Oryctolagus cuniculus: one gene and its partner. The protein of the gene in region 1 purifies or fractionates together with the protein of each later gene. This does not show direct contact. Links are inferred from orthologs where the notes say so. Each region holds a gene or a part of one and is shown on either strand. Other genes may lie near its edges.

Region 1 (6,483 bases):
TGAAGTTGGAAAGAACCAAGTATTGGGGTGATTTCCTATTGAAATGGAAAGTGTCTAGCCCACACTAAGCATTGAATAGTAGTGACCATTGTTACCAGATTCAACAAATACTTGCTGAATAGAAACCTGAGTGATAGGGGTTGGCATTGCGGTACAGCAGGTTAAGCTGCCTCCTGCGACACCAGCATCCCATGTGAGCAATGGTTCATGACCCGGCTGCCCCACTTCCGATCCAGCTCCCTGCTAATCCTCCTGGGTAAGCAGTGGAAGATGACTCAAGTGTTTGGGCCCCTGCACCCACATGGAAGACCCAGAAGAAGCTCTGGGCTCCTGGCTTCAACCTGGCCCGGATCTAGTCATTGCAACCATTTGGGGAGTGAACCAGCAGATGGAAGATCTCTCCCTCTCTCTCTCATCCCCCACCCTGTAACTCTGCCTTTCAAATAAATAATAAATAAATGTTAACAAAAAAGACAAAGAAATCTCAGTGATGGCAGCATAAAATGGAAATTTAACGGAGCTTTAAAAAGGCCGTGTGTGTGTGTAGGGGAGGATGGAGGTGAGAGAATGTGCCTTATGACCTTGCCAGGAGACAGAGATTCTGTACCCAAAGGGCAGGGTGCCTAGCCAAAGGCAAGGTTGGGCATAGCCACCCCAAGGCACACAATTGTGTGAAGAAATGAAAAGGAAAAGAAACTTCTTGCCACCAGAACCTGGTTTACCACTCACTGCATCAGAACAGAACCTGACTTCTGGGTCTGCGCTTGAAAACACACCTGCAACCGTTTCAATACAGACCTAGGCTGCAGATGCCTCCATGCAGCCTCCTGATGGCCAGGATACGTAAGCCCAGCTCAGTTTCTTCATCCAAAAAGCAAATGGGGAGAACCAAGTCTGCAAAATTCTTTCTAGACCTAAAAATCACCCCATGTGATCTATTTTGAAATTGCACTTTTAGCGATGATTCAGGACTAAAGGCAAATCTCTTTCTCCATGTTACATCTCCCAGTCTCTCAAAAAATGGTAGCTCTCTGCTCCGTGCCTTTTTTTTTTTTTTTTTTTTTTTTGACAGGCAGAGTGGCAGAGTGGACAGTGAGAGAGAGAGACAGAGAGAAAGGTCTTCCTTTGCCATTGGTTCACCCTCCAATGGCCGTCGCGGCTGGCGTGCTGCAGCCAGCGCACCGCGCTGATCCGAAGGCAGGAGCCAGGTGCTTTTCCTGGTCTCCCATGGGGTGCAGGGCCCAAGCACTTGGGCCATCCTCCACTGCACTCCCGGGCCACAGCAGAGAGCTGGCCTGGAAGAGGGGCAACTGGGACAGAATCCGGCTCCCCGACCGGGACTAGAACCCGGTGTGCCGGCGCCGCAAGGCAGAGGATTAGCCTATTGAGCCGCGGCGCCGACCCTCCGTGCCTATTTCTGTGTCTGTGTGAGCTCACTTTTTTCCTCACTCAGTTTCCAGTAATTTTACCTGGCTTCCATTTCTGTTTTCTAAGCCTGCTGTGCCCACTCCATGGTCTATGCCCACTCACCCCTGCCATGCCACTAACCCCTGGTACCTGCACTCATCTATCTCATCCTATACCCTTAAAAAAATTATTTCTGAAACTCAGAGCTACCGAGAGGGATGGAGGGACAGAGAGAGGTCTTCATCCACTGGTTAACTCCCCAGATGACTGCAGTGGCCGGGGCTGGGCCAGGCCAAAGCCAGGAGCCAGGAGCTTCTTCCAGGTCTCTTATGGGGGTGCTGTGGCCCAAATACTTGAGCCATCTTTTGCTTTCCTGGGCCATCAGCAGGGAGCTGGATGGGAAGTGGAGCAGCCAAGACAAGAACCGGCTCCCATATGGGATGCCGGAGTGTCCGGGCTTCACCCACTCTACCACAGCGGCCCCATACTTTTTTTTTTTTTTTTTTTTTTTTTTTTTACGGTAGTGTTTCTTAAGGAGCAGTCCAGTGATCATTCCTGGAAGGTCAGTAAGAACATCAGATTCCAAGAACCCACACTGGACTTCGCCCCTCAGAATTTGCTGGGGGGAGACCAAGGAAGCCGGTGGTTCTAGGCAATAGGAGATTTTCAGAACATACTGTTCTTTGAGAAAATCGAAGCTTGTTGTGATTGTTTTAAAAGGGGGAGAAATGCTCATTTAGTGACTTTCACCAGTTACATAAGAGAAAATAACGGCGGGGCAAGCTCTTCCACACTCTATCCAGGTAACTGGAAGCGCTGGTGTCGGCGTCGCTGTCTCAGCTACCCGGACGCTCAGGTAGGAACTGAACTCCCGGAGAAGAAAAGAACTCCTACGCCCCAGGAGACCGTTGGAAGGTCTAGGATAAGCCCTGGAAGACCCTGAGGCGCAGAGGCCACGGACTAGACCAGCGATTCTCAGCTCTGGAAGCGCCCGCGCCCTGCAGCGCACAGGCGCATTAGGGACCCCAGGCCGCCTCCGCCCCCTCCCGTTACCATGGCAACACCATCCGCTCCCAAAGTTCGCGTGGCGCGACAAGGCGGGACTTCCGGCTTAGGAACCAGTGCGCATGCGGCGGCCGGCGGGCTACGAGGAATTTCCTGTCGCGTGATCCCGGGAACCAACGAAATTGCCCAACTGCAGACCCACGTGCCTGCGTTCCCATTAGCAACCGGAGGCTTCTAAACACCCTCCCCTCCCGCCCCATCTTCGGTGGGCCTACCGCCGTCGGTCGTCCTCGGCTTAGCAAGGCTCCGTCCTGCCGTCCCTACTCCTGTAGGCTGCGGACTCCCGCCCGCCGCCATGGTGAGTGGCTGGCTCGCTGGCGCCGCACGGCTGGGGCTGGAGCGACAGGCTGTCCTCAGAGGACCCTCGTCCCGCTCGGAGCCTCGGGAGGACAGGAGGCCGGGCCCGGCCGGGGAGTTCGGGTCACCTCCGCCCCAGCGCCTCCGGGGTAACCCTGGGCGTCGCCTTTTTCTGGGGGCGCCGCTCCGCGGCGACGCTGATTTCTCATTCCTGAGCCAAGTCGCAGCTCGCAGGGGGCAGTGGCGAGAGCCTGAAGGGGTTTCTCTCTCCCCCCCTCCCTCCCTCCCCTTCTCTGTTTCTCTCTTCTCTGTCTCTTTCGCGGACACACACACTAACGAGAGCAGTCACGTGTTAACCAGCCATTGGAACACCGCTAGGGTTGTTACAATGATTTGTATACGAAGTAGTACAGTACCTGCTGAGCTACTAAGTAACCAATATGTGATGGGTTTTGTTACATTGTACTCACCTTTATCGCTAGAGCTGCTTCCTTGTTCCTCCCATGGTAAAATTGTGTGGATTTGTGGGCGCGGTCAGGATGCTGGGGTTCAGTGACTTGGTAACAGTCACACAGATGGATAGTTGCATCGGCGCACGGACAGCTGGGTTTTAGTCCAGTGCTGTCTCTTTAAACCCCATGTCAACCCAGTGCATTTCCGGGTGAATGACTTGACCTGCATACGTGGAGAATGCATGTGGAGACAGGCTGGGAGTCGCTGTGTCCCAGGCTGCTACTGCTCCCTCTCCTTGCTCCAATCCACTTTAGAGGAACTTTTCAGCCCTTATATCTAAAAATAATCCTTTTCAGTTGGAGAAATTTTTTTTTCTTCCTGGTCCTAGACCTCCTTCACAGGAGGGAAAGTAGCGAACAGGTGTAAATTGGCCACCTGCTCTGCACAAGACTCTACACCAGGTGTTGCGTGGTGTAAGAAATGATTCCTGTGTGCACGCAGCTTCCAGTCGGCTTGGAGCAGCAACACTGGAGAAGATTGAAAAAAAAAAAGATAATGCCACAGGTCGTAACCTGCGGTGGTGCCCGGTTAGGAGCACATGCTAGGTGTTGGAGGCTGGCGTAAAGCAGAGTTTCTGAGGGTGCATTGGGAAGCACCTCAGAGTAGGTAAAAAGAGGTTAGGCCTCGAAGGGGGCCGTAGGAGTTCAGTAATGTGGTGGACTGTGAGAGTACTTCAGAAAGTTCGTGGATTTTTACACCCAACTAAACTTGCCTGTTAACTGGAACATTTGAAGTACTCTTCATGTGGTTGTACTGGCTGCTGAGAGCCAGTTACGTGTTTCCTCTCATCTGTGCAGTCAGGGATGTTACACGGCTCCACTGAACTCAGCCGGCCGTGGAAGTATTTACACTGTGGAGATGAGCGTGACTGCAGATCAGGGGCCTCTCCCCAGAGAGCCTGTTGCTGAACTTACCGCACAGTGCTGGCTGCGATTCAGATTCCTGAACAGGCCGGGGGCGGGGGCTGGTTTCAGGCAAGGAGCAGGATACCGGTGAGTGCGAGTGGAGGCGGGAAATTCTAGGTTAGGCGTCAGGGCTGATGGGCAGGCTCGTCTGGCGGAAGTGGAGTGTTCACAGAGTAGGATTCTGGGAGACCGGGTTAGAGAAAGTGTGAAGGGTTTTAAAGACTGATGAGTACCATTTTTCTTAATCCCATGGCAATGAAAAATAAGAATTTATGCTTGTGGTTTATTTGTTGTTCCCACCCATGGTGGTGTGACTATCAGAGATAACTTTGTCTAATATAGTTGTTGGGCCTTTTTTTTTTTTTAATGCCTGGTGGAAATCAGCTTTGTAAACAATTGTTGCATTTGAATGGGGATGGATTTCCTCTAACTTCACTTCCTCTCTTCTCTCCTTCCTGCAGTCTAGTCCTTAAATGCCTGTTCCTCAGAACTGTTTTGTAAAATTCACCAGCACCTTCCTAATTACAAAGCCAGCTGCCAGGGCTGAGACCTTGCTCTGAGGTGACCTGCTGTACTGTTCGGCTGCTAGCCTTACTATCCTGGGTTTGCCTCCTATGTATCTGCCATGCTCTCCTGTGCTTGAAAACAGTGACCAAACTAAATTATGGCTATTTCCAAATGAAGTATGCTTTTTAAAGCTGTATTTTTTAGAGTAAAGGTTAAGTTCTTTAATACACACACACACACACACAAGCAGACTATGAAGGTTTAGTTTGCTCTCACTTAATGGCCATCTCACTGCTCATCTCTGGGGGTGAGCTATCTCCATGAGGGAGGCACACGTGTCCCTTTCATCCTGCAGCCCCTCCAGCCCTGTGGGCACTGGCCTGGCCTGCATGGGTCAGCTGAGTCCCCACATGTCTCAGGTTGCAGAGGAGCAGGGTGTGGCAAAGGCCTTACCTGTGTCTCAGGGCCCAGGCTTTGGACGGAGCCCACATCTCTTGTGCTCACACCATCCCTGAGAAGCAGTGTGGTGCGGAAGTGGCACCTGGCTGGGCAGCCACGCAGCCGGGAAGGAGGAGAGAGCAGAAGCTGATGCACGTCTTGCATTGTCTAGCACAGGGCAGCCTGTGTACTTTCATTGTTGGTTCTCTCTTCAGATCTCCCAGACTAACATGTGAATCCCTTCTCTCTTTTTCAGGCAGAGTTGGGTCTAAATGAGCACCATCAAAATGAGGTCATTAATTACATGCGTTTCGCACGTTCGAAAAGAGGCCTGAGACTCAAAACGGTGGACTCCTGCTTCCAGGACCTGAAGGAGAGCAGGTATCAGAGGACTCTGAGGAAGCCAGGTCGGAATGGGTTCCTCTCTGGTAGCCAGGACGGGGGTGCTGCAGTGGAGATCATAATGAGCCGTATCTGGGATCACCATCACCAGTGATGCTCTGAGAGCCCTCAGAGGTGTTCCAGACGCACTGCACCGAGTTGTGGTGGGTTGCGGTGGGAGCAGTGAACCTGTCAGACATGTGCAGGATAACTATGGGATGGTGGAGTTTCAGAAGGGTAGTCAGGAAGTCGCGAGGACCTTGTGGATTAATGAGTGGCTGATTGATTGGCTTCCTGTATTAAAGACTGCAGAACTTTACTTACTTGAGTTATTAATTAAAAGATTAGGGGCTGGTGCTGTGGCGTAGTAGGTTAAGCCTCTGCCTGGGGTACCAGCTTCTCATATGGGTGCCTGTTCGAGTCCCAGCTGCTCCACTTCTGATCCAGCTCTGCTAATGGCCTGGCAGAGCAGTGGTGGATGGCCCGAGTGCTTAGTCCCCTGCATCCATGGGGGAGACCCAAAAGAAGCTCCTGGCTCCTGGTTTCAGATCAGTGCAGCTCCAGCTGTTGCAGCCATCCGGGGAGTGAACCAGCGGATGGAAGACCTTTCTCTCTCTTTGTCCCTGTCTTTGTAACTCTGCTTCTCAAATAAATAAATGAAATCTTAAAAAGATTGGAGCCGTATGACATGGCAGTAAGCAACTCAAGCACCTCTGAAGCTCTTATTGAAGTTAGGACAGGGGAACATGGCAGGGATCCATGAACAACCTCCCTGAGCAGCGCCAGAACTGGTAGTTGATTTGAAGCAAGGGGTGATAATTAATTTGCTTGGACCAGTAACAGAAGATAATTAAATGTCAAGTCAGATATAAATGAAGGAGATCTCCAAGGGAGCTGCAGTTCTCGCAGTGCCGTGGGCTGCTACAGCCTTAGACCACTATGTGTTCAAGTTGGCCATCTGGTTCCCTAA
Region 2 (4,865 bases), on another chromosome or scaffold:
TGGTATGGGCTATTCCATGTATCGGGAATTCTGGGTGAAACCTAAACCTTAGAAGAGATGCTGGCTTGGCCTTGTTGGAGATGTTTCCTTTAGTTAGACATCTCATATTGAGGTTATGTGTTATATCGAAAATAAATAATTTGAGTGGGTTTAGACAATAATACATGGTATTTTGAATATGGACCTCCTCGTGACCAAATTATTAGTGACTAGTTCACTAATAGGTCCCTCGGGGAGTCAGGTTAACACAATGTCACATTTTACACCTGGTGTTAAAATGTTCTCCCTCCACCCCAACCCTTGTGATGAAATTAGTCCTAAAGATCACAGCAGGCCAATGCTGAAGTTACTCCCAGTTTGCTGCAGAGTGTCACATGCTTCGTGTGTTGGAAAGGAGTCCTGTTTACCCAGTTAATTCACTTTTTTCTGCCTGCCTCATAGACTGGATGAATATTTCAGTTTTTGGGATTGGTTATCTCTTAAAGAACTCTTTTTCAAAAAGTTCATGGAATATAATTTGTAAAGCCTCCCACACCTGAATGTGTGTGTGTGTACTTGTGTGTGTACACAAACAAAAGGTAGCAAGCTTTTAAGACAGCTGCATAGTAGTATTTATTTCAGAATCATACTTGTAGATGTGAGACTAATTTAATTATGGATTCCAGGTTAGCTCTTTTGTAAAAACTGCAGAATTATATTTTTGCTGCTGTTATACTAGCATAATTTCTAAATGTCACCTTGAAATAGAAACATGTATTTTAACTGCTAATACAAAGGTAAATTAACACTTTTAAAATGTGTGCAGTGTTTTTTAATTTTCTGTGTAAGACTCATAAATGTTAAATTACCTATAGTGGAAGTGATCAATAGTTTATGAGCAAGCTGGTTGGTCAGACATTATACACAAACTTTGATATACTACAGGATACATTATTGCAGTTGTGAAATCTCTTGTCTAACCTGAACTTACATTCCATGGTGATAGCATGATCTACATATTGTTATTAAAGTAAGTAAACACAAAAAAAAATTCCCTAGGAAATATGAATATTCCCTGACCCACAGACTGTATTTTTTCTTTGCCTCATTATAAGTACTCCTAGATTCCAACTAATTCTCTATTTCAGACCATGAAAAATGGATTTTAGCAAAGAATGATGCACATTAGCCTTTAAAATCCTGTCTATCCCAAATTACTATCAACATTTCTCACTTAGTATTCCAATAGTATGACAGATGTGATAACAAACAAATAGCAGATAAATTCAGAATTGGCTCTATGAGTTGCTAAATCTGCTATATAATGTGAATAAATAAAAGTTATATAATCTTTTTTTTTTTTTTTTTTGACAGGCAGAGTGGACAGTGAGAGAGAGACAGAGAGAAAGGTCTTCCTTTGCCGTTGGTTCACCCTCCAATGGCCGCCGCGGCTGGTGCGCTGCGGCCGGTGCACCGCGCTGATCCGATGGCAGGAGCCAGGAGCCAGGTGCTTTTCCTGGTCTCCCATGGGGTGCAGGGCCCAAGCACCTGGGCCATCCTCCACTGCACTCCCGGGCCACAGCAGAGGGCTGGCCTGGAAGAGGGGCAACCGGGACAGAATCCGGAGCCCCGACCGGGACTAGAACCCGGTGTGCCGGCGCCGCAAGGCGGAGGATTAGCCTAGTGAGCCGCGGCGCCGGCCAATAAAAGTTATATAATCTATAATCTATTTTGTTTCATAATCATTGAAATTTCAGAATATGAACTACAACAAAAGCATACCTCCCCTCTTCTTCTCATTTCGAATTTCCCACTTGTGTATTGGTTTAGATGCAGTGATCTGAATAAGCCCAAGTTTTCCATCTGATGTTCCAAACAAAATGTCCTCTCCAGAGTTACCTGTTTACAATTGAAATCAAACATACTACATTTATCCCATAATTCATAATCTCTCTTTAAACTTGAAAGTGTTTTCACATAAAAAATCTAATTTTTTAAATATTATAAGAAAACTTTGGAAGAACACTTACATATTTTTAACTCTACAAGTTAAAACCCTTTGCCATCATCTAATTTTAGATGAAGAAACTGAAAATCAAAATTCAGTAACCCATTATTGTTCATTACCGACAAGTTATTATAAAAAAAAGTGTTGCAGTTCTAGTTCATGTTCAATACACAATTTCCTGTTTCACTTAATGTTTTAATAATATATAGATGATTGAGTAAAATGAGATTTTGATTACCGCCATTTCCATTGTATAGTTCTAAGACGGTTGGTGGGCCAGGAATTTCAATTTCATACATTACATCAGATCCCTAAAAGGAGAATAAGTATTTAAAAATCCAAACGGTTTACAAATTTAAAATAATATAAATAACATCAATATTCAAATACAGTACTCTTATTAACACCTAGAATAAAACTGCTGAAAAAATTAGGTCATAAATATCAACTTGTATTTGTTAGTAATTTTATATATATTAACATTTTTGAAAATAATATATGTATAAAATGTAAAAATCAAGGAGAAAATACTAAAACATTCTCCTTTTTTTTTTTTTTCAACAGGCAGAGTGGACAGTGAGAGAGAGACAGAGAAAAATGTCTTCCTTTTTCCGTTGGTTCACCCTCCAATGGCCGCTGCAGCCGGAGCACTACTCTGATCCGAAGCCAGGAGCCACGCGCTTCTCCTGGTCTCCCATGCGGGTGCAGGGCCCAAGGACTTGGGCCATCCTCCACTGCACTCCTGGGCCACAGTAGAGAGCTGGCCTGGAAGAGGGGCAACCGGGACAGAATCCGGCGCCCCAACCGGGACTAGAACCCGGAGTGCTGGCACCGCTAGGTGGAGGATTAGCCTATTGAGCCACGGCACCGGCTCCCCAATCCAATTTTTTCCTGTAATTTGATTTTTTGGAGGGAAGTGAGGGTGAAATAAGAAGCTAACGAATTGTAAAGCCAAAAAGCTCAGGAGGGTTCTCTGTATTAGGAATATCCAATTCTGATTGTACTAATTCAGAAATTGTGTTTGGAGATGGGAAAAGCAACGTTTTTCTTCCACATATTGCTCCTAAAAACTTGTAAAAAATCTCAACACACTTGCCTCAAGTAAAAATAAATCAATTTACCAATTATTAAAATGTTTTTCCAGAAAAATTTTATATAGAACACTTAAATAGTAATCACTGAAACAGTTTATCTCAAGTGCACAACATTCATCAATATTCACTTATGTAAATTACACAAAGTTAAAAAAATACTAATAATGGTAACCTGTAAAACTCTGAGCACTCGGTCCTGGCAGGCCAATACTGGTGTAATACGTGGTACTCTTTCCACTGGAAGGCAGATGACATCATTGATTTTGTCCCCAGAAAGGTAGTAATGTTGGTCTTTGCAGTCACAATAATGGTTATAGATGTAATTTGCACTGAGAAAGAGGTCTGAGCCAGATATGTGCCTGAGAACATTAAAATAACAATTTAACACAGCCACATTTAAAAAATAAGCATAGGTCACTCCTGACTTTTTTTCAGAGGAAAATAAAACTAGGTGCCAGTGTTGTGACGCAGCAGCAGCAGGTTAAGCCACCACTTGTTAACACCAGCATCTCAAATGAGCACCAGTTATGATACAGCTCCATGCTAATGCACCTGGGAAAGCAGCAAATATGGGAGATCTGGATGGATTTCTTGGCTCGTAACATCAGCTTTGCTCAGCCTTGGCTGCTGCAGCCATTTTTGGAGTGAACCAGAAGATGGAAAAATCAATCTCTCTCCCTATCCCACCTTCCCCTCTAACTCTACCTTTCAAATAAATAAATAAGTCTTCAAAAAAAAGAAGAAAGAATGAAAACAAAAAAATAAACAGTTCACTACAATTTTACCATATTGAACATGATTTTCTTTCATTTCCCCCACTCAATTTTCTGGCTTTTGGGCATAAGACTGAAAACTGAAAATGAGGATCTTAAATCCTTGGGCCATTCAATAGACTGAGCTCAGAAAATCCAAAAATAAAAATAATGAAAATGTGATTATCTGAAGATAATTACTATATCAAAAAACAATTTTTCTTTTTTTAGATTTTATTTATTTATATGACAAAATTACAGACAGTGAGAGAGAGAGAGATAGAGAGAAAGGTGTTCCTTCTGTTGGATCACTCGCCAAATGGCCACAAGGGTCAGAGCTGTGCCAATACGAAGCCAGGAGCCAGGAGCCAGGAGCTTCTTTCCAGTCTCCCACGTGGGTACAGGGGCCCAAGCACTTGGGCCATCCTCCACTGCCTTCCTAGGCCATAGCAGAGAGCTGGATTGAAAGGAGCAGCCAGGACTAGAACTGGTGCCCATATGGGATGCCAGTGCTTCAGGTGGAAGATTAACCTACTACGCCACAGTTGGGCTACTTTTAAAATTTTTATTTATTTTCATTTTATTTGAAAGGCAGAGAAACAGAGAGAAATCTCCCATCTGCTGATCCACTCCCAAAATGCTACAACAAAAAGACTGGGTGAGACCAAAGACAGGAACACAGAGCAGCTCAATCCAGGTCTCCCGTGTGGTTGGCAGAAGCCATCATCTGCTGCCTTCCAGGTTGAACATGACCAGAAAGCTGAATTAGAAACAAAGGAACTGGGGCTCAAACCAGACACTCCAATACAGTACACAGGTATCTCAACCAGTGTCTTAACTTCTGTGCCAAATGCCTGCTCCTCACCTCACTGCACACACCCTATATACACACACATTTAATATCATTCTTATCAACTTTATAAAATTCTATATCTTTTTCAAGCTCTGCAAGTCCATTTTGAAGTCAATATGCATTATAATAGCCAAAGCACTATTTAGCAATCACTGTTGTTGACAAGAGTGAGGAATAGA

What was found.
Region 2: the proteins of LZTFL1 (region 1) and BBS7 purify together in Homo sapiens (affinity purification with mass spectrometry; 3 studies listed by BioGRID and IntAct, counting the BioPlex papers as one, with this or other methods). This does not show direct contact. The link is inferred for Oryctolagus cuniculus from reciprocal best matches to the Homo sapiens genes LZTFL1 and BBS7.

The regions. Positions count from the first base shown.
Region 1 is NC_091441.1:103,578,100-103,584,582, reverse strand, and holds the start of LZTFL1 (leucine zipper transcription factor-like protein 1), read left to right. Parts: upstream 1-2,569; 5' UTR 2,570-2,767; coding exon 2,768-2,770; intron 2,771-5,388; coding exon 5,389-5,513; intron 5,514-6,483. UniProt on the Homo sapiens protein: Regulates ciliary localization of the BBSome complex. Together with the BBSome complex, controls SMO ciliary trafficking and contributes to the sonic hedgehog (SHH) pathway regulation. May play a role in neurite outgrowth. May have tumor suppressor function.
Region 2 is NC_091439.1:43,202,337-43,207,201, reverse strand, and holds part of BBS7 (BBSome complex member BBS7), read right to left. Parts: intron 3,441-4,865; coding exon 3,254-3,440; intron 2,299-3,253; coding exon 2,226-2,298; intron 1,879-2,225; coding exon 1,762-1,878; intron 1,031-1,761; exon of another isoform or gene 1-1,030.